Linked DNA regions of Elephas maximus indicus. The protein of the gene in region 1 interacts with the protein of each later gene in a pairwise test. Links are inferred from orthologs where the notes say so. Each region holds a gene or a part of one and is shown in the gene's direction. Other genes may lie near its edges.

Region 1 (7,929 bases):
GCACTCAGGACTGCAGGGTTGTTCTGTTTCATAGCTCTACCATCCCTTAGAAACCCTGGTGGTGTAATGGTTAAGACCTATGGCTGTTAACCGAAAGATCAGCAGTTTGTATCCACCAGGTGCTCCTTGGAAACTCTATGGGGCAGTTCTACTCTGAGTTGGAATTGACTCCACACAAAACAGGTTTTTGTTTTGTTTTTAACCATCCCTTAGCAACTCATCATCTTCTGATAAAGGGAAACAGCACTGGAAAAGCTTACTTGTTTTCCAAAAACCTTGGCTTGGAGGGACCACAAATTGTTTCTTCCTCTAACATTCCATTGGTTAACTCAGTCTCATGGTCACACTAGATGCAAGGAAATGTAAACCCAGGCTGGACAACCACTTGTCAACAAGTCTATACCAAAATAAATAAATATATGGATTCCTTCCTCTACCTTTTCCATCTTCAAGGTCAAGAGAGGCAATTTTGGTGAAGAGCTAGTCATATGATTCACTTATCATGGGGAAAGAAGGATGGAATTACTAAGATTGTCTACTAAACAAAATTCTTTTTTTTTTTTTTTATGCGGGGGGGCGGGGGGCGGTTAGGACCTGCCCTCCATGAGCCTACTGCTCTACAATACCTGAAAGAAAAGGGTTCCTTTAGCACAATGGTTCTTGAAGTGTAGTCCACGGAAGAGCAGTATCTCACATGGAACTTGTCAGAAAAACAAAGACTCAGGCCCCAGTCCAGACCTACTAAATTAGAAACTCTAGAAGTGGGGCCCCAGCAGTTTTTTTTTTTTTTTATAACTTTTATTAAACTTCAAGTGAACGTTTACAAATCCAATCAGTCTGTCACATGTAAGTTTACATACATCTCACTCCCTACTCCCACTTACTCTCCCCCTCTTGAGTCAGCCCTTTCAGTCTCTCCTTTCTTGACAATTTTGCCTGCTTCCCTCTCTCTCTATCCTCCCATCCCCCCTCCAGACAAGAGTTGCCAACACAATCTCAAGTGTCCACCTGATACAATTAGCTCACTCTTCATCAGCATCTCTCTCCCACCCGCTGACCAGTCCCTTTCATGTCTGATGAGTTGTCTTCGGGGATGGTTCCTGTCCTGTGTCAACAGAAGGTCTGGGGAGCATGGCCGCCGGGATTCCTCTAGTCTCAGTCAGACCATTAAGTTTGGTCTTTTTATGAGAATTTGGGGTCTGCATCCCACTGATCTCCTGCTCCCTCAGGGGTCCTCTGCTGTGCTCCCTGTCAGGGCAGTCATCGATTGTGGCCGGGCACCACCTAGTTCTTCTGGTCTCAGGATGATGTAGGTCTCTGGTTCATGTGGCCCCTTCTGTCTCTTGGGTCCAGCAGTTTTTTAAAAAAGACTTCCAGGTGATTCTGATGCATACCAAAATTCGAGAACCAGTATTTCAGCATGTAAAAACAGATGCTGAATTTTGGGTAGGCACCAATAGTTGATATCATACCCAGAAGTTCTCTGATTAAAAGTGGTAATTTTCTTCAGAGATGATGATAAAATGAAAGTCAGTTAAAAAAAAAAAAAAAACAAGCAAAAAACCTAAAGCTGAGAAAAGCTACAAGGATGATGAAAAGACAAGAATATATTTTGGAGAGTATGATTTCAACAAGTTGCAGGTACTGGAAAGATGATGCAGGCATGATAGCTGATTTTGCAAGACAGGAAGTCGCAAGTTAAAGTGGATGAAGAAGGTTAAGAGAATGTGGAGATCCAATTCACAGCCACAAAACCCCCAGAGAGGCTCGGTGGTGCCAAATAAAGGTGAGGTTAAAGTTGAAAGTTGAAGCTTAGAAATAAAAATGAGAAATGCTTGAATTCTCAGAGGCTGATTCACCCCCCTCATTCACTAACCCCACGCTGACAATGGTGTATACCACCCTAAGCAAGGGATGGGAGATTTCTTCTGTATAAAAACTGACCAAAAGAGCCTTGAGATTCACAAACACAATATGTATTGGGGGAGAAGAGGCTGAAAAACAAGACTGAATATGGAAGTTACTAGATCTTTGTAGCCCTCCTTCCCCATCTGCAGCAGAAAGTCAACAATCAGGAAGTTTTTACTGAACACAGGAGACCTTGGACATCTACTTTGGCTACTGCAAAGGTGTTAAGACACAGATAATGATCAGGGCCCACCTGAAGGAAAAGCGTTGCCACCTTGTAAAACGAAAGAAGAGTAAACCCCACAGAAGGGAAGAGCACAAAGCACAGAGAAAAATTGCCTCTCCTGACCTTGATGATGGAAAAGCGTGGGGCGGGGGAGTCTATTGATGTATTTACTTGTCCTTATAAAATCTTAGACTTATAAGAACAAACATTAATTTCAGAAAAAACAGGCTTTAAAGGGAAAACATTACTAGAAAGAAAAAAAAAAAGAAAGAGGGACACTAATGATAAAGGTTCAATTCACCAGGAAGAGATAACAACTTTTATTATTATTATTGCCTAATCATATAACCTCAAAATATATGAAGAAAAGGTTGAAACAAAGAGCATGATTAAGAAATCTGACCTAATAAATAGAACACTGTAACCAACAACTGAAGTCTACACATACTTTGCAAATAATTGCAGAATATGTATAAAACCTAGCAAAGGGTCATAAAGCAAGCCTCCAAAAAAGTTCAAATGACTGAAACCAGACAGTGTACGTTCTTGGACCAAAACACAATTGCAAATAAGAAAAAGATAACTGGAATATCCCAATTTCTTAGTAATTAGAAAATAAACAGGAAGAAATCATAGTGAATGTCTTGGGGGTGCATTAGGCTTTTAAAAATAAAATGTGAAGTTCAGAAGTCAAAATGAAAAAGTAAAAGATAATTTAAAATTAAAACTTATGAATGGTGGAAGTCACTTTAAATAACTTACAAGCCAAAGGGCCTCTGGGAAGAAGAATCATACCTTTTTTAATACAAGAGGAATTCAAATGCAAAATGTATAAAGAATACTAACAAATCAGTGAGGGGGGAAATACCCCAGTCGAAAAAGCAAAATGGACATTAATATAAGACAAATTATAGAATAAAGTGGTAAAATGATCAATAATCACGTAAAACTACGCTCAACCTCATTAACAATCACAATTAAGAAACAAAAACAATAGTAAAATAATACTGCATTTGCCAATCACAATAGCAATCCTAGAACCAGAGACACGTGAAAAAATTGACTTTCTCGTATTTTGATGGGAGAATCAAACGACATGGTCTTACCGGAATAAGGTTCTTGCCTGTCACTGGTCAAGAATGAGCAGGTAAGGCACACAGAGTTTTCCACACAAGCAAAGCTTTACTGAAGAGGCTTGCAAGTGCAGACCAGGAGGGCCTAGAGCAACGCTTACCCTCATCTCACAGAACAACAGATGGCTCCTGTCCTGGAGGCCTCTGGGATTCATAGGAATACTTATTATGGGCTGCTGCACCTGCACAGTTTCTCCCTCCCTGGGGTCTGATTCCTCAGCTGGGCCTGTAGCCCCTCACTGCCCCTGGCAGAAGGTCACACAGCCGTCACAGGTGGATGTTCTGTCCTTGACTCCGGGCCTGGTTTTCTCCAGCTGCTTCTGAAAGGCAACTTCAAAGAAGTTTGTGGGCTATTTTTACATATCCTGCCCCATTGTTCTGGGGAATGGCTTTGTTTCTGCGCCCTGGCCCATTTCTTGGTACTCTGCAGATTTGGGAGGCCCTCTGTTCCTTGTCTTAATAAGCCCCTAGTCTCCACACTCAACTCCCTATTACCTCCCCGGTAGTATAGTCTATTTCTCTTTTACTTGCTTCTGCTCTAACCACACCAGTCTCTTCGCTATTTCTCAAACAGGCACCTTCCGATCTCAGGGCCTTTGCTCCCTGTCTTAATGGTTTTCAAGCCCTGTGTACAGAAGCAGACATGCCAGGATGATGGCTACAGCATAATGAATCATCATTAAAAAATGGAAACAAACTACACCTAGATTATCACATCTGTATGAGATATGGAGATTTCCAAGATCATCGTTAGATGAAGAAAGGCAATCCTATTTAGGTAAAAAAAACACCGTTGGTAGATCTGCATACTCATATTTGTGTAACAACAACATATAACGTTTACTAAGCGCTTCCTCTGTTCCAGGCACTATTTAAGCTCCTTATTTTAAATTCTGTACCTTTATAAAAATTCTATTAGATAGATACTATTACTATGATGTTTGGAAACTTGTTTTGAGTCAAACCGACCAAGCGTATTCAGAAAGTTTCGTTTTCCGCCCCCGCGACGGGAACAAAGGCGTGCAATAATAAACAAGTAGTTGTGGAACTGAAGGGTTCCTTGATTTTTTTTTTTTTTAATTTTTACTTAACATTTAAAAAAAGAGGCACAGAGATTGGCAGGTCACTTTCCCGAGGTCACAGAGCTGGTTAAGTGGAGGAGAAGGAATTCCAGCGAAGGTGGTTCAGTTTCCTCCCGCCTGTTTCCATCCTTTGCAATGTCTATCTCCTCTCCTTTCCTTCCAACCTCTTTTTTTTTTTTCTCTCCTTTCCTTCCAACCTCTACCTCTTAGTCTGTTCACAGTAGAATGGGGAGAGAAGCGGGGATAGGGGTGGAGAGGGACTATTTCTCGGTTTTATTGTTTGAAACATCACGTGTTACTACTGTAAATAAAAATTAAAAAAAAAATCAAGGAACCGTTCAGTTCCACAACTACTTGTTTATTATTGCACATCTGTGTTCCTGTCGCGGGGGCGGAAAACGAAACTTTCTAAATACACTTGGTCAGTATGACTCAAAACAAGTTTCCAAACATCATTTGATGCAAAGAAAGCAAGAGAGCGGGAGGTGAAACACACGCAAAAAAGAAACAATCTTGACGCCGATTTATTCATGCTCCCGCCCCCCTCCCTCCAACCCCGCAGCCCCCACCTTTGAAAGGCAGCAGGAACCTGACTCTTGTAGTCAGCGCCGGGATAAAGGAAGTGCTGCGTAGGCCGCTCCAACTCCTCCCCACGGGCGGCCGCATCTGAGTTTTGACTTTTCCTCTTTTCCAAGTCACAGCTGGTGGGGCCTCTCCCATTCCTGGGCTTCAGCGATAACCCCAGAACTAACGTCTTCTGAGCCCCTGCCACCGGCAAGGGAGGGGCGGGGCGGACTTCCCCAGGGTGGCCGGTCTGCTCCAGGTGCCACGGGACCTCGGCGCCAGTGCTGGACCAGGTGAGGGGCGCACTGGTTATACCTGGGCTCCAGGAGCCACGGGACCTCGGCGCCAGCGCGGGACCCAGGTGAGGGGCGCACTGGTTATACCTGGGCTCCAGGAGCCACGGGACCTCGGCGCCAGCGCGGGGACCAGGTGAGGGGCGCACTGGTTATATCTGGGCTCCAGGAGCCACGGGACCTCGGCGCCAGCGCGGGACCCAGGTGAGGGGCGCACTGGTTATACCTGGGCTCCAGGAGCCACGGGACCTCGGCGCCAGCGGGGGGACCAGGTGAGGGGCGCACTGGGTATACCTGGGCTCCAGGAAGCCCACCGGGAGCCGCGGGTTTCGACGCCGAGGTCGTTTCGCGGCCCCTTTTCTCGGAGACTTCAGAGAAGTTATGTAACCAGGCATACCCGACCGCCGAGGGGTCCGGGGAGAAGCTCCTCGGCCCCGCGCGGTCTTCTGGGTCCTGGGGCACCGAGGCGCCTTGGCTCTCGGGCTGCGCCGCGCCGGCTGGGGGCAGCCCCAGGTGGGCGGTTTCTCTGTCTCCTGGCGCGGGCGCGGCTTGGGGAGGTGCGCGAGGGCCCGCGGGTTCTGTTTGCACCAGGGCTGGGGGCCGGGGGCCGGGGGCGGCCTCGGGAAGCGACCGCGGAAGTGGAGCGGGGTCTCCACCAGGGGCTCTAGCTGGCCCAGCGGTTCTCCGGGCCGTGCCCCGACCTTTCCCAATGACAAGGTTGGTCCTGCCCGAAACTGCCTTATCTGGGCTTTGTTTTCGCTGCTTTGCAGTGCAGAGAGCCGTGTTGAATCCATTCGAGAAGCTGGGTTTGTTAGAGCAGCTTGTTGGAGGTATTAGAAGAGACGATTAATAGAGTCATCCAGCTGTCATTTAGCCCCAGCCTATGCTGAGCACCCTAGACTAGGAAAAGAAACCGAAAGATAGAGGCGGTGTGGTGGTAAGACCACCAGCTCCAGCGTTAAGCTGTTTTGAGTTTCAGTTGTTTCTGTCTTTTAGTATCCGTGGACTTTGAGCCAGTTACAGGCAGTCTCCGTTTAAAAAACATCCGACTTAATATGAGTCGAAATCGATTCGATGGCAGTGGGTTTGGTTTGGGTTTTAAGAACAACTGGTACTTATTTTAAGAACGGACTGCCATAAGCCTATTGTATTAAACATTTGAGTTGTAGGCTTAAGATACTTTAGTGTATTTGGGAAGTGTTTCTTAGTGATTTGTATGCACACACAAAAAATTTTTTTTGAAAGGTAAAATATATGCTAAGACAAACGTTTGATGCTAAATAAGAATCTTATGTATCTGTTCTGACTTATCTATTAATTCAATTTAAAGACCCTTGGGGATGGATCTTGTTCATAAGCGGGGGCTGCCTGTATTTCATGTATGTGCCTTTGTTGCCTCATCTCTGAAACTGGGTTAAGACATCAACACATGTGATGTAATTAGACCAGTACCTAAACCAAACCAAACCAAACCAAACCCAAACCCAGTGCCGTCGAGTCGATTCCAACTCAGCGACCCTATAGGACAGAGTAGAACTGCCCCATAGAGTTTCCAAGGAGCGCCTGGCGGATTCAAACTGCCGACCACTTGGTCAGCAGCTGTAGCACTTAACCACTACGGCATCAGGGTTTCCTGAGCAGTACCTAATACTGCTAAAAATACGACCCTTGCTTGTCCAAGCTCACTGTCAGGTTTTCCTATGTGATTTCACTTACCCATAGTTACTCCTGGAAGTCTTGGCACCTCACTTCTGTGTACCAGGAACAGGCAGCCGTTGTTTTCCATAGAAGTTTAAAAGAAAAAAAATTTGCAATTCATGTTTAGTACCGGTAACCCATTACGGTCCAGGGGATTCCGACTCATAGTGACCCTATGGGACAGAGTAGAACTGTCTCATAGGGCTTCCGAGAAGCGGCAGGTGGATTCGAACTGCTGACCTTTGGGTTCGTAGCCTTAGCTCTTAACCACTGCACCACCAGGGCTCCGTGCTTAGTACATGTGGCACTATTTAGTGCGAAGGGGCACGAAGTTTTGGCTTTCTTTTTCTTCTCTAAGCTTTCCCAACAGCAGAATTTTCTTTTAATGCCACCGTGGGTTTTACCACAGTTGTGGGGTTTTCAACAAGAGCAAACACCATGACAAACAAAAGGAAATGAGTGGATTTCTGCAGTGGATAGGAAAGTGGAATGTAAAAAGCAGGGTTTTAGTTTAAACAGCTTTCAGATCTGTAAGGTAACTGTTTTACAGAGTGGAAGGAATTAAATAATACCACACACAGGTTAATTCAGTAAGTATCAATTAAGCACCTTGTCCTGGACAAGACTGACCGTGCTTGGCCTTTGAGAGCTTACTTAGCATTGGAAGTGAAGAAATGTTAGATGTGTGTGAAATGGCCCCAGTAGACCTCTCCATCTTTTCCTGGGATTCTCTCTCTCTTCTTCTGCTGTGTAACCCCACCGACCTTTTAATTGAGGAAATGAGCCAAGCTCCCTCTAGCCTCATGATTTAGACACGTGTGGTTCCCTCTGTCTGTCATGGCACCCCTCCTACATACACCCAGGGGCACATGATGGTTGTTACTGGACTTTCTTCAGTCAGAGCTGACTTTCCTGATAGTGTCTCACCATCTAAATTAGTGCCCCCGTGATTCTTTTTTATAGCACCATTTACTTTTATTCATAGCACGTAGAGTAATTCTTTATTGTGTTAGTTTTCTATTTCC
Region 2 (7,868 bases), on another chromosome or scaffold:
ATCAGAGCAAGTCCACGAGAGCCAAAATATGACCTTGAGTATATCCCACCTGAATTTAGAGACCATCTCAAGAATAGATTTGACGCATTGAACACTAGTGACCGAAGACCAGATGAGTTGTGGAATGACATCAAGGACATCATCCATGAAGAAAACAAGAGGTCACCGAGAAGACAGGAAAGAAAGAAAAGACCAAGATGGATGTCAGAGGAGACTCTGAAACTTGCTCTTGAGCGTCGAGCAGCTAAAGCAAAAGGAAGAATTGATGAAGTAAAAAAAGGGCCTCTCGAGAAGACAAAGTAAATTATTATAATCACATGTGCAAAGAGCTGGAGATGGAAAACCAAAAGGGAAGAACATGCTCGGTGTTTCTCAAGCTGAAAGAACTGAAGAAAAAATTCAAGCCTCGAGTTGCAACAGTGAAGGATTCCATGGAGAAAATATTAAACGATGCAGGAAGCATCAAAAGAAGATGGAAGGAATACACACAGTCATTATACCAAAACGAATTAGTAGATATTCAACCATTTCAAGAGGTGGCATATGATCAGGAACCGATAGTACTGAAGGAAGAAGTCCAAGCTGCTCTGAAGGCATTGGCGAAAAACAAGGCTCCAGGAACTGATGGAATATCAATTGAGATGTTTCAACAAACAGATGCAGCGCTGGAGGTGCTCACTCGTCTATGCCAAGAAATATGGAAGACAGCTTCCTGGCCAACTGAGTGGAAGAGATCCATATTTATGCCTATTCCCAAGAAAGGTGATCCAACCGAATGTGGAAATTATAGAACAATATCATTAATATCATACGCAAGCAAAATTTTGCTGAAGGTCATTCAAAAACGGCTGCAGCAGTATATCGACAGGGAACTGCCAGAAATTCAGGCTGGTTTCTGGGACCGGGGATATCATTGCTGATGTCAGATGGATCCTGGCTGAAAGCAGAGAATACCAGAAGGATGTTTACCTGTGTTTTGTTGACTATGCTAAGGCATTCGACTGTGTGGATCATGACAAACTATGGATAACACTGCGAAGAATGGGAATTCCAGAACACTTAATTGTGCTCCTGAGGAACTTTTACATAGATCAAGAGGCAGTTGTTCAGACAGAACAAGGGGATACTGATTGGTTTAAAGTCAGGAAAGGTGTGCGTTAGGGTTGTATTCTTTCACCATACCTATTTAATCTGTATGCTGAACAAATAATCCGAGAAGCTGGACTATATGAAGAAGAATGGGGAATCAGGATTGGAGGAAGACTCATTAACAACCTGCGTTATGCAGATGACACAACCTTGCTTGCTGAAAGTGAAGACAACTCAAAGCACTTACTAATGAAGATCAAAGACCACAGCCTTCAGTATGGATTACACCTCAACATAAAGAAAACAAAAATCCTCACAACTGGACCAATAAGCAACATCATGATAAATGAAGAAAAGATTGAAGTTGTCAAGGATTTCATTTTACTTGGTTCCACAATCAACAGCCATGGAAGCAGCAGTCAAGAAATCAAAAGATGCATTGCATTGGGTAAATCTGCCGCAAAGGACCTCTTCAAAGTGTTGAAGAGCAAAGATGTCACCTTGAAGACTAAGATGTGCCTGACCCAAGCCATGGTATTTTCAATCGCATAATATGCATGTGAAAACTGGACAATGAATAAGGAAGACCGAAGAAGAGTTGACGCCTTTGAATTGCGGTGCTGGCGAAGAATTTTGAATATACCGTGGACTGCCAAAAGAACGAACAAATCTGTCTTGGAAGAAGTGCGGCCAGAATGCTCCTTAGAGGGAAGGATGGCAAGACTGCGTCTTACATACTTTGGACTTACTGTCAGGAGGGATCAGTCCCTGGAGAAGGACATCATGCTCGGCAGAGTACAGGGTCAGCGGAAAAGAGGAAGACTCTCAACGAGGGGGATTGACACAGTGGCTGCAACAATGAGCTCAAGCGTAACAACGGATGGCGCAGGACCGGGCAGCGTTCCGTTCTGTTGTGCATAGGGTCGCTATGAGTCGGAACGGAATCGATGGCACCTAACAACAACAACGTGTTAGAGGGGTGATTACTGCTCTTCTGAAAACGACTCAAAATGGCCCATTTCCCTGGTGCATCACAATTTCAGTATATTTTTAATTACAAAGCCAATCCATGCTCTTTGAAAAAATGCAGTGACAGAAGTGCATCCTGTAAAAAGCGAAGGTCCCCCCCCATTGAACACCTTTGGCAGTCTCCCCAGTGGTAATATTTTGCAAGCTACAGAGCAATATCACCATTAGGATATTGACGTGACCTACTCGTTTTATCCAGACTTCCCCAGGTTTACTTTGCTCACTCTTGTGTGGGTGTATTTAATTCTGTGCAATTTTATCACCTGTGTGGGTTCACGTATTCTCCACTACACTCAAGAAGATACAGAACAGTTTCTCACCACAGTTCCGTTGCATTTTAAATAAGGTAATGTACCAATTTCAGTAAATCCGTTTCTCAGTGTAAGACAACCTGTAACGTGGCTCCAAAAGGCCACTTTTAATCCCTGCAGCAACACCCTCCCACAGAAAATACAAAATCCAAAAGTAAATAAATAAATAAAGTGAGCCATAAATGAAAGCCTCCATGTAATTTAAATTTTTCTAGTAACTACATTAAAAAGGTAAAAGGAGGTAAATTTAATTTTATCAATATATTTCATATAATCCAATATATTCAAAATATTATCATTTCAACATATAATCAGTATCAAAATCATAAATGAGGTATTTTACTTTTTTTATACTGAATCTTTGAATCAGTTGTATATTTTACACTTAGAGGCCCATGGCCGTCGAGTCGATTCTGACTCACAGCAACCGAGTAAGGACAGAGTAGAACTGCCTCGTGGGGTTTTGAAGTTGTAATCTTTACAGAAGCAGACTGCCACATCTGTCTTCTGTGAAGTGGCTGGTGGGTTCAAACTGCCAACCTTTTGGATAGCAGTCAAGCACTTCACCACTGCGCTACCAGGGCTCCTTCAATCTTCCTTACTTATTATCCAGCTTTAGCATCCCTCTGAGGCAAATGAAAATACAACAGCTTGGGTCACATGCACCTTAGTTCTTAAAGTGACCTCTTCGCTTTTTAACATTTTAAAGAGGCCTTTTACAGCAGATTTGCCCAATACAATACGTCACTTGGTTTCTTGACTGCCGCTTCCCTGGGCGTTGACTGTGGATCTGAGCAAAATGAAATCCTTGACAACTTCAATATTTTCTCTGTTTATCATGATGTTGCTTTTGGTTCATTTGTGAGGAGTTCTGTTTTCTCTATGTTGAGATGTAATCCATCCTGAAGGCTGTAGTCTTTGATCTTCATCAGTAAGTGCCTCAAGCCCTCTTCACTTTCAGCAAGCAAGGTTGTGTCATCTGTATATTGCAGATTGTTAATGAGTCTTCTTTCAATCTAATGCCACGTTCTTCTTCATGGAGTCCAGCTTCTCGGATTACTTGCTCAGCATACAGATTGAATAAATATGGTGAAAGGATACAACCCTGACACACAACTTTCCTGATTTTGAACCACACAGTATCCCCTTGCTCTGTTCAAATGACAGCCTCTTGGTCTTTGTATACATTCCATATGAGCACAAGTAAGTGTTCTGGAATTCCCATTCTTCCCAATGTTATCCATGATTTGTTATGAGCCACACAGGCGAATGCCTTTGCATAGTCAATAAAACAAGGTAAACATCCTTCTGGTGTTCTCTGCCTTTAGCCAGGCTCCATCTGACATCAGCAATGATATCCCTGGTTCCACGGCCTCTTCTGAATCCGGTTTGAATTTCTGATGAACAGCAGCAGAACGTTGTCTGATATAGTACTGGAAGAGGAACACATCTGGTTGGAAGACACTCAAAAGAAGACTGGGGAAGAGCTGCCTCCTCAAAGTATCAAAAAAAAAAAAAAAAAAAAAAAAGTCCGCCACCCTCAAGTCCATTCTGATTTATAGCAACAGTCTAGGACAGAGTAGAACTGCCCCATGGGGTTTCCAAGGAGCAGCTGGTCAGCAGCTGAGCTCTCAACCACCGTGCCACCAGGGCTGGGGCCTCAATGTATGGTCGACCTCAATGATGTAAAGGGAGTAAAGCTTCGGGACCTTCATTTGCGGACTTGGTACGACTCAAGATGCGAAGAAACAGCTGCAAACATCCATTAGTGATCAGAAGGTGGAATGCAGACATATGTGGTTGAATCTAGGAAAACTGAAGTCGTCAAAATTAAGTGAAATGCAAAAAGATCGCTGTCCTAGGCATGAAAAAACCCCACTGCGGTTGAGTGGATTCCGACTCAGCGATCCTAGGCATCAGAGAGCGGAAATGGACTGGTACTGGCTATTTCGAATCAATCCTACGGTCCTGTGGTCTATGCTTATAGTAGCCCTATGGCCACCATAATGGGTATCGCAGCCACATGGCTACCTGACAGTCACGACCCTTGGCATGAGGATTCCAGGTTCCCAGTGGAAACCCCTGGCCTGGGCCAGGCGCCAGCGCGGCCTCTGTCGTTTCACGATCTCGGCTGCAGAGTACAGAGACTCTGGGGCGGGGCCCGCGGGACGGAAGAGGCCTGCGGGGCGGGGCCGCGGGAGGGGCGGGGCCTGCAGGGGGCGGGGCTTGCAGGGCCGGTCCGAAGGGGACATGCGCAGGCCGGGAGGGGCGGGGCGCGAGAGACGGCGCCCTGCGGGGCAAGTCGCTCGGGAGGCGGGGCCTACCGGGCGGGTCCCGCGGGAGGCCGGCGCAGGCCGGGATGGGGCGGGTCCGGGGGCGGGTCCTGCGGGGGACGGCGATCCACCTGCGCGCAGCGAGCCGGCGTCGCGGCCCCGCCCACCGAGCCGCCCGCGCTCGATTGCTCCTGTCTGGCGGCGGCAGCATGGCGGCGGGGGCGCCCGAGGCGGCAGCCGCCGTGGTGGAGGTTGGCTCGGCCAGGCAGTTTGAGGAGCTCCTGCCCGTCAAAGCCAAGTAAGCGGGGCGGCGAGCGGCGGAAGTTAGGAGCCGTGGCGGAGGCCGTTCGCGAGGCCCGGCCCCACTGGAAGGCCTGGCCGGCTCCCTCCCGCCGTTCGGTCGCGGCCTCGGTGGACCGCCCGGCCCGCGGACGCCCCATAGTCCTCATTTGGGGTTCAGAGCTGGACGGCCCAGAGTCTGGCTTGCTTTGCCTGGGAGAGTCAGCAGTGCGGAGGCCGCCCCCCGCCCGGCCGCTGAAGTGCGGCTCCGGGGGCGCGGCCCGGCCCAATTGGCGGCCCGGGCCCGTGGACCCGACTCTCCAGCCTCGGGCCTGGCCATTCTGGGGTCACGGACGCGGTGACTCAGCTTAGCAGTCTGGGCGGGGCCGGAGACTTGGGTGGGTCCTGGAGAGCAGGGGGCGCTGAGATCCGGGTTGGGCCTGGAGCAGGGGGCTCTGAGACCCGGGCTGGGCCTGGAGGGCAGGGGGCTCTGAGACCCGGGCTGAGCCTGGAGGGCAGGGGGCTCTGAGACCCGGGCTGAGCCTGGAGGGCAGGGGCCTCTGAGACCCGGGCTGGGCCTGGAGGGCAGGGGGCTCTGAGACCCGGGCTGAGCCTGGAGGGCAGGGGGCTCTGAGACCCGGGCTGAGCCTGGAGGGCAGGGGCCTCTGAGACCCGGGCTGGGCCTGGAGGGCAGGGGCCTCTGAGACCCGGGCTGGGCCTGGAGGGCAGGGGGTCTGAGACCCGCGCTGGGCCTGGAGGGCAGGGGGTCTGAGACCCGCGCTGGGCCTGGAGGGCAGGGGGCGCGGAGACTCGCGCTGGGCCTTGGGGTGCGAGGGGTTATGAGACCTGGGCTGTGCCAGAAGGGCAGGGTCCTAGAGACCTGGTCTGAGCCAGGAGGCGGGGGAGGGGGGGGGGCGCGCGGAGACCCCAGCTGGGCCTGCAGGGCAGTGGGCCATGAGATCCGGGCTGGGCCTGGAGGGCAGGGGCTCGGAGACTCGCGCTGGGCCTTGCGGGGCGAGGGGTTATGAGACCTGGGCCGGGCCTGGAGGGCGGGGGACGCTGAGACCCGGACAGGGCATGAAAGGTGGGGGATGCAGAGACCCCCCGCTGGCCCTGGGTAGGGGGTGGGGGCGGATGGGGAGGGCGGGGGTCGGAGACCTCAGCTGGGCCTGGAGAGCGGGGAATGCGTCAGTGGGGACCCCAAGCCCGTGGGTCCGACCTCTCTGTGCAGACTGTAATCGGACAGGTCGCACTTGTCTGTACTGTCTCTTAGCGTCACTTTGTAGAACGTACCTGTCACCAGGAAAAGCAACCAATCAAGCCGTACCAGGGTTAGGCAGTTCTGTCTTCATTTTAAAATTATATTTTAAAGTTTGTTGGTACTCAGGTTGCCACAGGCAGGGATTTCCTGTTTCCTGAATCAGTGTAGTCCGAGTTGGCTCAGGTTGGCCCACGTGCTTCTTGCCCTTGAGAAGACTACAAAGGGATGCCCTGAAAACGTTTTTGGATAAATGGAAGCTCTGAACTATATGCATGCTTGCAGGTAGATGCTTGCAGGGGTGAATGCTTACAAGTAAATGCTTACAGGAATGCCGATGAGCGCTCCTTAGTAACAGTGCCACCTCAGCTCTAGAGCCCTGGAAGGACTGAGTTCAGATGGAAGCTCTAGTGTCAGATTGCGTGGGACCAGATTCCCAACGTGGCCAGTTACCAGGCATTATGGGACCGCTGGGCCAGTTTCATAAGCAAGCGTCAGTTTCCTAAGCGGTAGAATGGTTTAGAGTAGTACCTACCTCCTAGGGTTGTGTGAGGATTAAACAAGACTATGACTGTAAAATACCTAGCTCGTTCGTTGTCTGGCATGCTGAAAGCACGTGGAGATGTTGACTGTTACTGTTTTCAGTATGGAGCGGAGTGCCTGCATGGAGTTCACAGGCCATAAATGCTTAATTGATCTAAATTCAGTAGAAGTTTGTCACTGAATTTGAATTAGAAGCGGGTAGTACTTTGTGATTTTTTCAATGGAGAGTGCAGATGAGATGGGGGCTTGCCTTTGTTGAAGATGGGGAGAAGTGACAGATAACTCTTCTGGCTGGCCATGCTTTATGGAGGCAATGAAGTCCAAGTGCTAATTAAAACAGCTCTTTTGGCATTTCAGGCTTACCTGGGAAATTGTTAAACGAGGGGAAATGAGGTTTACTCATTGATGAGCACTGGACTCTGGTTCATCCTGCACTTTTCCACACAGATCTGAAGGCAGCAAAATTACGGAGGACATGAGAGGTGGCCTCTGGAAGCAAGTACAGCTTGTGTGGACCTGCCCTTGATAAACGTTTTCAATTTACCGTCACCTGACTTTGGTTTTTTTGTGTGTTTTACGTTTTTTTTATGCTTCATGTTGTAAACAATCTTTAAAATACCACAAGGGGTAAAGGCTTAAATGTAAATACCAGTTAGATGTATTCTTGCTACTGGTCTGTACTTGAAATGACCCAAAAACCCTCACACCCTTTCTGTAGTAATTAGCGTAAAAAGGCACGTGGGACACAGGATCTGGCATCTGGGGAAGGAACAATCTCTGCCTCTTGTGAAAACGTCAGCATTCAGAACATGAGGTAGTAAGTAGCCCTGGTGGAGAAGTGGTTAACAGCTACAGCTGCTAACCAAAAGGTTGGCCTTTTGAATCCGCCAGCCACTTCTTGGAAACTGTGGGGCAGTTCTCTGCCCTATAAGGTCGCTATGAGTCAGAGTCGACTTGAAGGCAACAGGTTTGGTTTGTGTTAATGTAATCATTTAAAATCTTTCCAAATCATCCCTTCTCAGTTTTAAAATTTGGTATGAATTGAAATTTTTTTTTTTTTTTTTTGCTTAAGCTATCTAATTAGAT
Region 3 (6,256 bases), on another chromosome or scaffold:
TTCTAAAACAAACAAGAAACTGATAGGAATTTGTGATGGTTAAGACTGTGTGTCAACTTGGCTAGGCCATGATTCTCAGTGTTTTGGCAGTTGTATAATGTTGTGATCACTTCCCTGTTGAAATGTGATACGTGATCAGCCCCATGATGGAATCTGCTGAATTGCACTGGTGGGGGTGGGGCCTGTGGCAGCCCACCACCCCCTCAGCCTTCATCTTTCCACCTTTCACTTCCTACTTCCTTCCTGCTCACCTCGCAAAGGTTGCTGGCTTGTTCTGGATCCAGCAGCTGTCTCTTGTCTGACCTCTGGTTCTTGGGACTTCAGCTAGTAGCTTACCTGTCCATCTTGGGATTTGTCGATCTTCACAGCCTTTGAGCAAGAGTCCTGCTCCCTGACCTGCCTATCTTGGGTTCGCCAGCCCCTGCAGCTACATGAATCAGGAGAAACCTTGTGGTCTTGCCTGCCGACCTTGGGGATTCCTCTACTGTCATGGCCTGTGATCGGGAGCCCTGCTCTCTGACTTGCTCATCTTGGGTTCACCAGCTTCTGCAGCTCCACGAATTGGGAAAGGCCTGTATCCTGATCCAAGGACTTGGGATGTTCCAGCCCCTACAATCGTGTAAGGTTTTTCCTTGATATAAATCTCTCTGTATATATTTACAGGCTTTACTGATTTTGCTTCTCTTGATAACCCAGCCTAAGACAGAATTCCACTAGAGAAACTTGATCATTTCTAAAGCTTTCCATCAAAACGCAGTATCTTCTACCACATATGCCCTAAGAAAAACAAATCTAGAATATCACCATTCCATTTTGAGTTAAGTAGAGCAGGAGGAAGGTAACTGCCAGATGTGTGATTTTACATCTAGAATCAGAAAAGGGGACACTGGAGGCTAAAAGTTTCAGCATAATGCATTTTGAGTCAAGCAGTCTTGTCTTCAGCAAACCACAGAGCAAATGAAATTGAATGAAGCCTGTGGTGTCTACAGGTCCCAAGGCAACTGTTGGAGTCCTGATCCAAGAACTCCCATACCATTCTCAATTTTCAAACAAGAATGAATCAATGACCTTTGCAAGCTTCAGGGCTTTTGCACATTCTGCTTCTCTGTCATTTAATGGAGGCTTGTATAGACTTGAGCTCCCAGCAGGCAGTGTTCCATTTTGCACAATTCCGCTCACCACAGAAAAGTAATAAAGGAATATACTCTGGGATGGTTATTTCTAGGATCAAACCTGGGAGTACTTGATTGATGTTTCTACAAAGTGGGACAAGAAAAGGACACAGGGGATGGCCTATCTATTTTTGTGTTAGTCACAGAGTTAGGTGTCTTTATATGTGCTGTATTACACCTTTTAAAATGCTTGAAATATTTCAGTATGACAATGACGCTAGTGAACAGTTGTTGAGTGCTCATTGTGTTCCTGTGCTAATCACTTCAATGCAGCATCTTATTAAATCCTTAAAATAAACCTACACACTGTAGTTGTTGTGTGCTGTTGAGTCAATTCCAACTCATAGCAACCCTATAGGACAGACTAGAATTGTCCCCACAGGATTTCCAAGGCTGTAATCTTTATGTAATCAGATTGCCACATCTTTCTCCCTAGAGCAGCTGGTGGGGTGAAGTGCTGACCTTTCGGTTAGCAGCTGAGCTCTTAACCACTGCACTGTCAGAGCTTCTACCTATGCACTAAAATACAAAAAACCAAACCCATTGCCATTGAGTCGATTCTGACTCATAGCAATCCTATAGGACAGAGTAGAACTGCCCTATATGGTTTCCAAGGAGCATCTGATAGATTCAAACCGCCGACCTTTTGGTTAGCAGCCATAGCTCTTAACCACTACACCACCAGAGTTTCCACCTATGCACTAGGTACTATTATTATACTCATGTTATTGGAAACCCTGGTGGCGTAGTGGTTAGGTGCTACGGCTGCTAACCAAAGGGTCAGCACTTCAAATCCGCCAGACACTCCTTGGAAACTCTATGGGGCAGTTCTACTCTGTCCTAGAGGGTCGCTATGAGTCGGAACCGACTATGAGTCGGAACCGACTATGAGTCGGAACCGACTATGAGTCGGAACCGACTATGAGTCGGAACCGACTATGAGTCGGAATCGACTTGATGGCACTGGGTTTGGTTTTTTGGTTATGGTAAGGAGGATGAGGCTGACAGGATAATAACCAAAATCAAGAAACTAAACCTGTTGCCATTGAGCGGATTCAGACTCATATCGACCCTCTAGGACAGAGTAGAACTGCTCCACAGGACTTCCAAGGAGCAGCTGGTAGATTCCAACTGCCGACCTTTTAGTTAGCAGCCCTAGCATGCTGTAGCTCTTAACCGCTGCACCACCAGGGCTCCAGAGGATAATAATCAGTATGTTAAAGCTGAACCATGTCTATTTATTCTTATTTATTTACATTCTTAACCACAATGTGACAAAAAGCTCCCAATGTATATGCCGTATGATGGGCAATGAAGAGATACAAGGAAAATCATAGTCAGAATATTTGTATTCTCTATTTTCAAGAACAAACCCACGGTATACAAACTGGTAATAATAGTGTTTGTTTAATCAGCAGAAATTTGTATGGCGTATTACAGTTTTCAAAGTGCTTTCCATATGTATTTCATTTACTCATCGCAAGAGCCCTACTTAAGGTGGATGGGTATAGCAATGTCCATAGGAATTTGGGCTCTGGGTTCTAATATGCCTAGATTTAAATTCTAGCCTGAAATGTATTAACCCCACAACCTTGAGCAAATTAACCTCTCCGTTCCTTAATCTGTGAAAGGTGGTAATAATATACGCCTTAGGCTGGGTTCTCCAGAGAAGCAAAACCAGCGAAGCATATATACGTATATATGTCTATGTGCATGTGTGTGTATGTGTCTGTGGGGGAGAGAGAGAAAGATGTATCTCAAGGAAATAGCTAATGCTGTTGTGGAAGTTGGCCAGTTCCCGAAGTCCATGGGCCAACTGTCAGCTGGAGGCTTCTCCTGACTCATGTGGCTGCAGGGGCTGACGAACCTAGAATAGGCAGGTCAGACAGCAGGCTGCGGGTTCACAGGGCTGTGGAAGCCAGCAAATCTCAAATTCAGCAGATCAGGAGACAGGCTGCTGGCTCAAGTCCCAAGAACAGGAGTCAGATGATGATAGTCCAGAAACAGGAGCCAGAGCAAGCAACTGGCCTCTGCCAAAATGTTTATATATATATATAAAAATGTAAGTATAAATATATATATATATATATATATATATATATATATATATATATATATTTGGCATTGGCCACACCCCCAGGGGAAACTCCCCTTACAAATGATTGGCTGATCAGATCAGATCACATCATGGACGTGATCATACTATATCATGAAATGGGTGATAATTACATCAGATCACAAAATGTAGGGTAATTACACACTACATAGTACCATGGCCTAGCCAAGTTGACACATAACATTAACCATCACACTACCTTACAGGACAAATGTGAAGATAGCACGCCATGAGCCACTCGCAGGTGTACAGTAAGCACAAGTAATAAATGTTAGAGGTCCTTGCATTATGTATAATGAATTGCAGTTACCAGGAGTTAAAAGAAGGGCATGAGCTGTGAGGTAAGGAGTGGAGCCCAGGTTTTCTGATTCTAGAAGCTTTCTTTTTATCCCCTCAGAAGCTCAAAGGGTAAGATATATACTTTTCAATACCTAAATCCTCCCCCGCAATACCCTTGGTTGAGCTGAAGGCCCCTCGTCTTCTGTATCCCCTCCCTCAGGGTAGTAGTGGTACAGTGCAAATGAACTGCCCTAAGCGTTGCCAAGTTGGGCCGCAGACTTCAGCAGTGCAAACCCCAGCCTTGGCCCCTCTTCCCCTCCTTCAAAAACTTCGTCACAAGCCCTGTAAGAACGTTCACGGGCCACCTTGTTCCCGGCCAGAACCCGCCTCCAGGCACAGGGAGAACGACCTCGAACCCCATTGGCTGTTGCCCGAGGCAACCAAAGACGCGGTGGGCACGCGGGGGCCCCTGGCCAGTATTTAAAGGCTGCGGCGACCCAGCGCCACCTCAGTCCGGCCAGGACGGCCACCGTGAAGCACCTGGGTTGAGAGGGAGCCCCAAGGTAACGCGTAACCCCTGCCTCCCTAGTTCCCAACCCGCGCCTCGGCAGAGGCAGGCGTGTGTGGGATCCGGGAGCGGGTCTCACTGCGCGTTGCCCACCAACACCTTCCTCCCCCACCATCCTTACCCAGCCCCAGTCCCACCCAACCCACCTGGGCAAGACAACCCGGGTGCGAAGGACAAGAGATTGCGACGAAAGAGCGGAAGAGGGGGACCTCCTGGAGAGAAAGGTGTGATCCTAGCGGCAGGCACGTGGCACTGAGTGGAGAGACACAGGTGACAAGACTCTCCAGAGGGTCGGATCTGGCCGAAGTTGAGGACAGCTTCTAGGACATTACCATTTAGATCTTTCAGGGCTTCCTGAACCATGAACCAGACCGTAGACACAAGGGAGGACCCTCTTAATCTGGGTGGCGGCTGGGCGTCCTCGGTCCCGTTACGCAACTGGTCCTCATCCCACCGAAGGCGCAGGAGCGCGTCGATTTACAAGCGGCGATACCGTTATGGCCCCAAGGCCGAATATGAGCCCCCGAGGAAACAGCCGAAGCAACAGCACGGCCCAGACCCTTGGGGCTACCCTCCTCGACAGCCCTATAGGGCCGTGTACTCCAACCGGGGGCGTTGGGGAGGTCCCTGGCATCCACCCCCAGCGGAATTCTGGAAGGCCCCTGGTCGGGTGCAAATGATCCGGGTGTACGGCCTGCAGCCAATCTGCCTTTGCTGCTGCTCCTGTTGGCACGGACCCCGGAACCCCAGCTGGATAAGGCCCTCTGGCAGGAAGAGGCGATGGGGCCGCAGGGGCCGCGGCCTGCGCCGCCCCCCTCGCCGCTCCTTCCCGAGGAGCCCGCCGGTGGATCTAAGCATGCTGCTGCGGCCAGTCAACCTGTATGGGTGGCGGGCGCCCGGCATGCGCGCGCCGCGTAACACCACCCAGTTCATCATGAACCAGATCTACGAGGACATGCGGCAGCAGGAGAAGCTGGAGCGCCAGCAGGAGGCGCTGCGGGCACAGCAGGTTCAGGCGGGCGGCCCGGCCTCCCCAGCGGCCTCCTGTGCAGGAGATGCGCCACCCAGAGGCGGCGAGGAAGACGCAGAGCTGCAGGAAATTTTGTACGGCTTTGTGCAGAATCCCTCTCTAGTGTTCAGACCTGCCCCCACGGAGGAAAACCGGTCTCCCACTCCGCAGCAGGTGGAGGAAGAGGAAGAAGAGAAAAACGATAATGAGGAGTGTGAGGAAGAAGTGTGTGATGAGGACAGTGAGGAGGAGGATGAAGAGGTGGAGGGTGAGGAGGGCGAGGATGAAGAGGAGGAGGCCGAGGATGAAGAGGAGGAGGCCGATGGTGGAGAGGAGGAGGCTGATGGTGAAGAGGTGGAAGAAGCTGACTATGAGGAAGAGGAGGGGGAGGAAGAGGAGGAAGAGGAAGATATAGAAGAAGAGGAGAGGATGGAGGAGGATGACCAGAGAGAGGAAGAGAACCATTTGCCTCTGGAAATGCCTTTATCAATCCTAGTAGGGTCTGAAGAAGAAGGAGAGAACTTTATAAATTGTAATTATTTCAGCCCAAAGCAGATGAACCCCGAAGTGCCACAGGAAACCCTCTTCATGGTACAGGACATTAACTATTAGACACCAGGAAAGGGATTGAGGAGTGAAATGAGACTGAATTGAGGCTAAAATGGATTAGCAATTTATTAAAAACTAAATGCAAAAGTGAGTTCCATTAATAAACATACGTAAGCCCCTTCTTTGGCTATTATAAATTGTTCGAAAATTGATGTGTTTCGTTTATCACCATGGGTGGCGGAGGGGTTTATATTAAATATAATTAAATTGGAAATGATTAAAGGCCAACTATTTTATTACTAAATACAGTTTCAATATTTCTTTTTGGTATTTTCCACTCTATAGACACTTGAGGTTTTTTTTTGTTTTGTTTTGTTTTTAATTCTGGCAATGCTGCAAAAAAAAAAAAAATTGTAACAAAGATATACCTTATCTATTTATTGTGCTTGGAATCAACAGATCTTTTGATTGCCAAATGCTTCAGAAACACATGAAATGGCCCTTGAATGTCCTCCAGTGCTCTTGACGTTCTAGCTGAAGCCATTTGAAAATGCCTGTTTTTT

Evidence for each region. The genes of interacting proteins can lie anywhere in the genome.
Region 2: the proteins of PLSCR1 (region 1) and GLRX3 interact in binary tests that used the Homo sapiens proteins (3 or more experiments, as listed by UniProt). The two-hybrid records come from large-scale screens. The link is inferred for Elephas maximus indicus from reciprocal best matches to the Homo sapiens genes PLSCR1 and GLRX3.
Region 3: the proteins of PLSCR1 (region 1) and CCER1 interact in a two-hybrid assay, tested with the Homo sapiens proteins (2 studies listed by BioGRID and IntAct). The two-hybrid records come from large-scale screens. The link is inferred for Elephas maximus indicus from reciprocal best matches to the Homo sapiens genes PLSCR1 and CCER1.

What each region holds. Positions count from the first base shown.
Region 1 is NC_064841.1:13,289,374-13,297,302, forward strand, and holds the start of PLSCR1 (phospholipid scramblase 1), read left to right. Parts: upstream 1-4,925; 5' UTR 4,926-5,206; exon of another isoform or gene 5,207-5,410; intron 5,411-5,455; exon of another isoform or gene 5,456-5,478; intron 5,479-7,929. UniProt on the Homo sapiens protein: Catalyzes calcium-induced ATP-independent rapid bidirectional and non-specific movement of phospholipids (lipid scrambling or lipid flip-flop) between the inner and outer leaflet of the plasma membrane resulting in collapse of the phospholipid asymmetry which leads to phosphatidylserine externalization on the cell surface.
Region 2 is NC_064834.1:80,051,866-80,059,733, forward strand, and holds the start of GLRX3 (glutaredoxin-3), read left to right. Parts: upstream 1-4,868; 5' UTR 4,869-4,911; coding exon 4,912-5,000; intron 5,001-7,868. UniProt on the Homo sapiens protein: Together with BOLA2, acts as a cytosolic iron-sulfur (Fe-S) cluster assembly factor that facilitates [2Fe-2S] cluster insertion into a subset of cytosolic proteins.
Region 3 is NC_064822.1:155,350,609-155,356,864, reverse strand, and holds CCER1 (coiled-coil domain-containing glutamate-rich protein 1), read left to right. Parts: upstream 1-4,496; coding exon 4,497-5,756; downstream 5,757-6,256. UniProt on the Homo sapiens protein: Regulator of histone epigenetic modifications and chromatin compaction into the sperm head, required for histone-to-protamine (HTP) transition.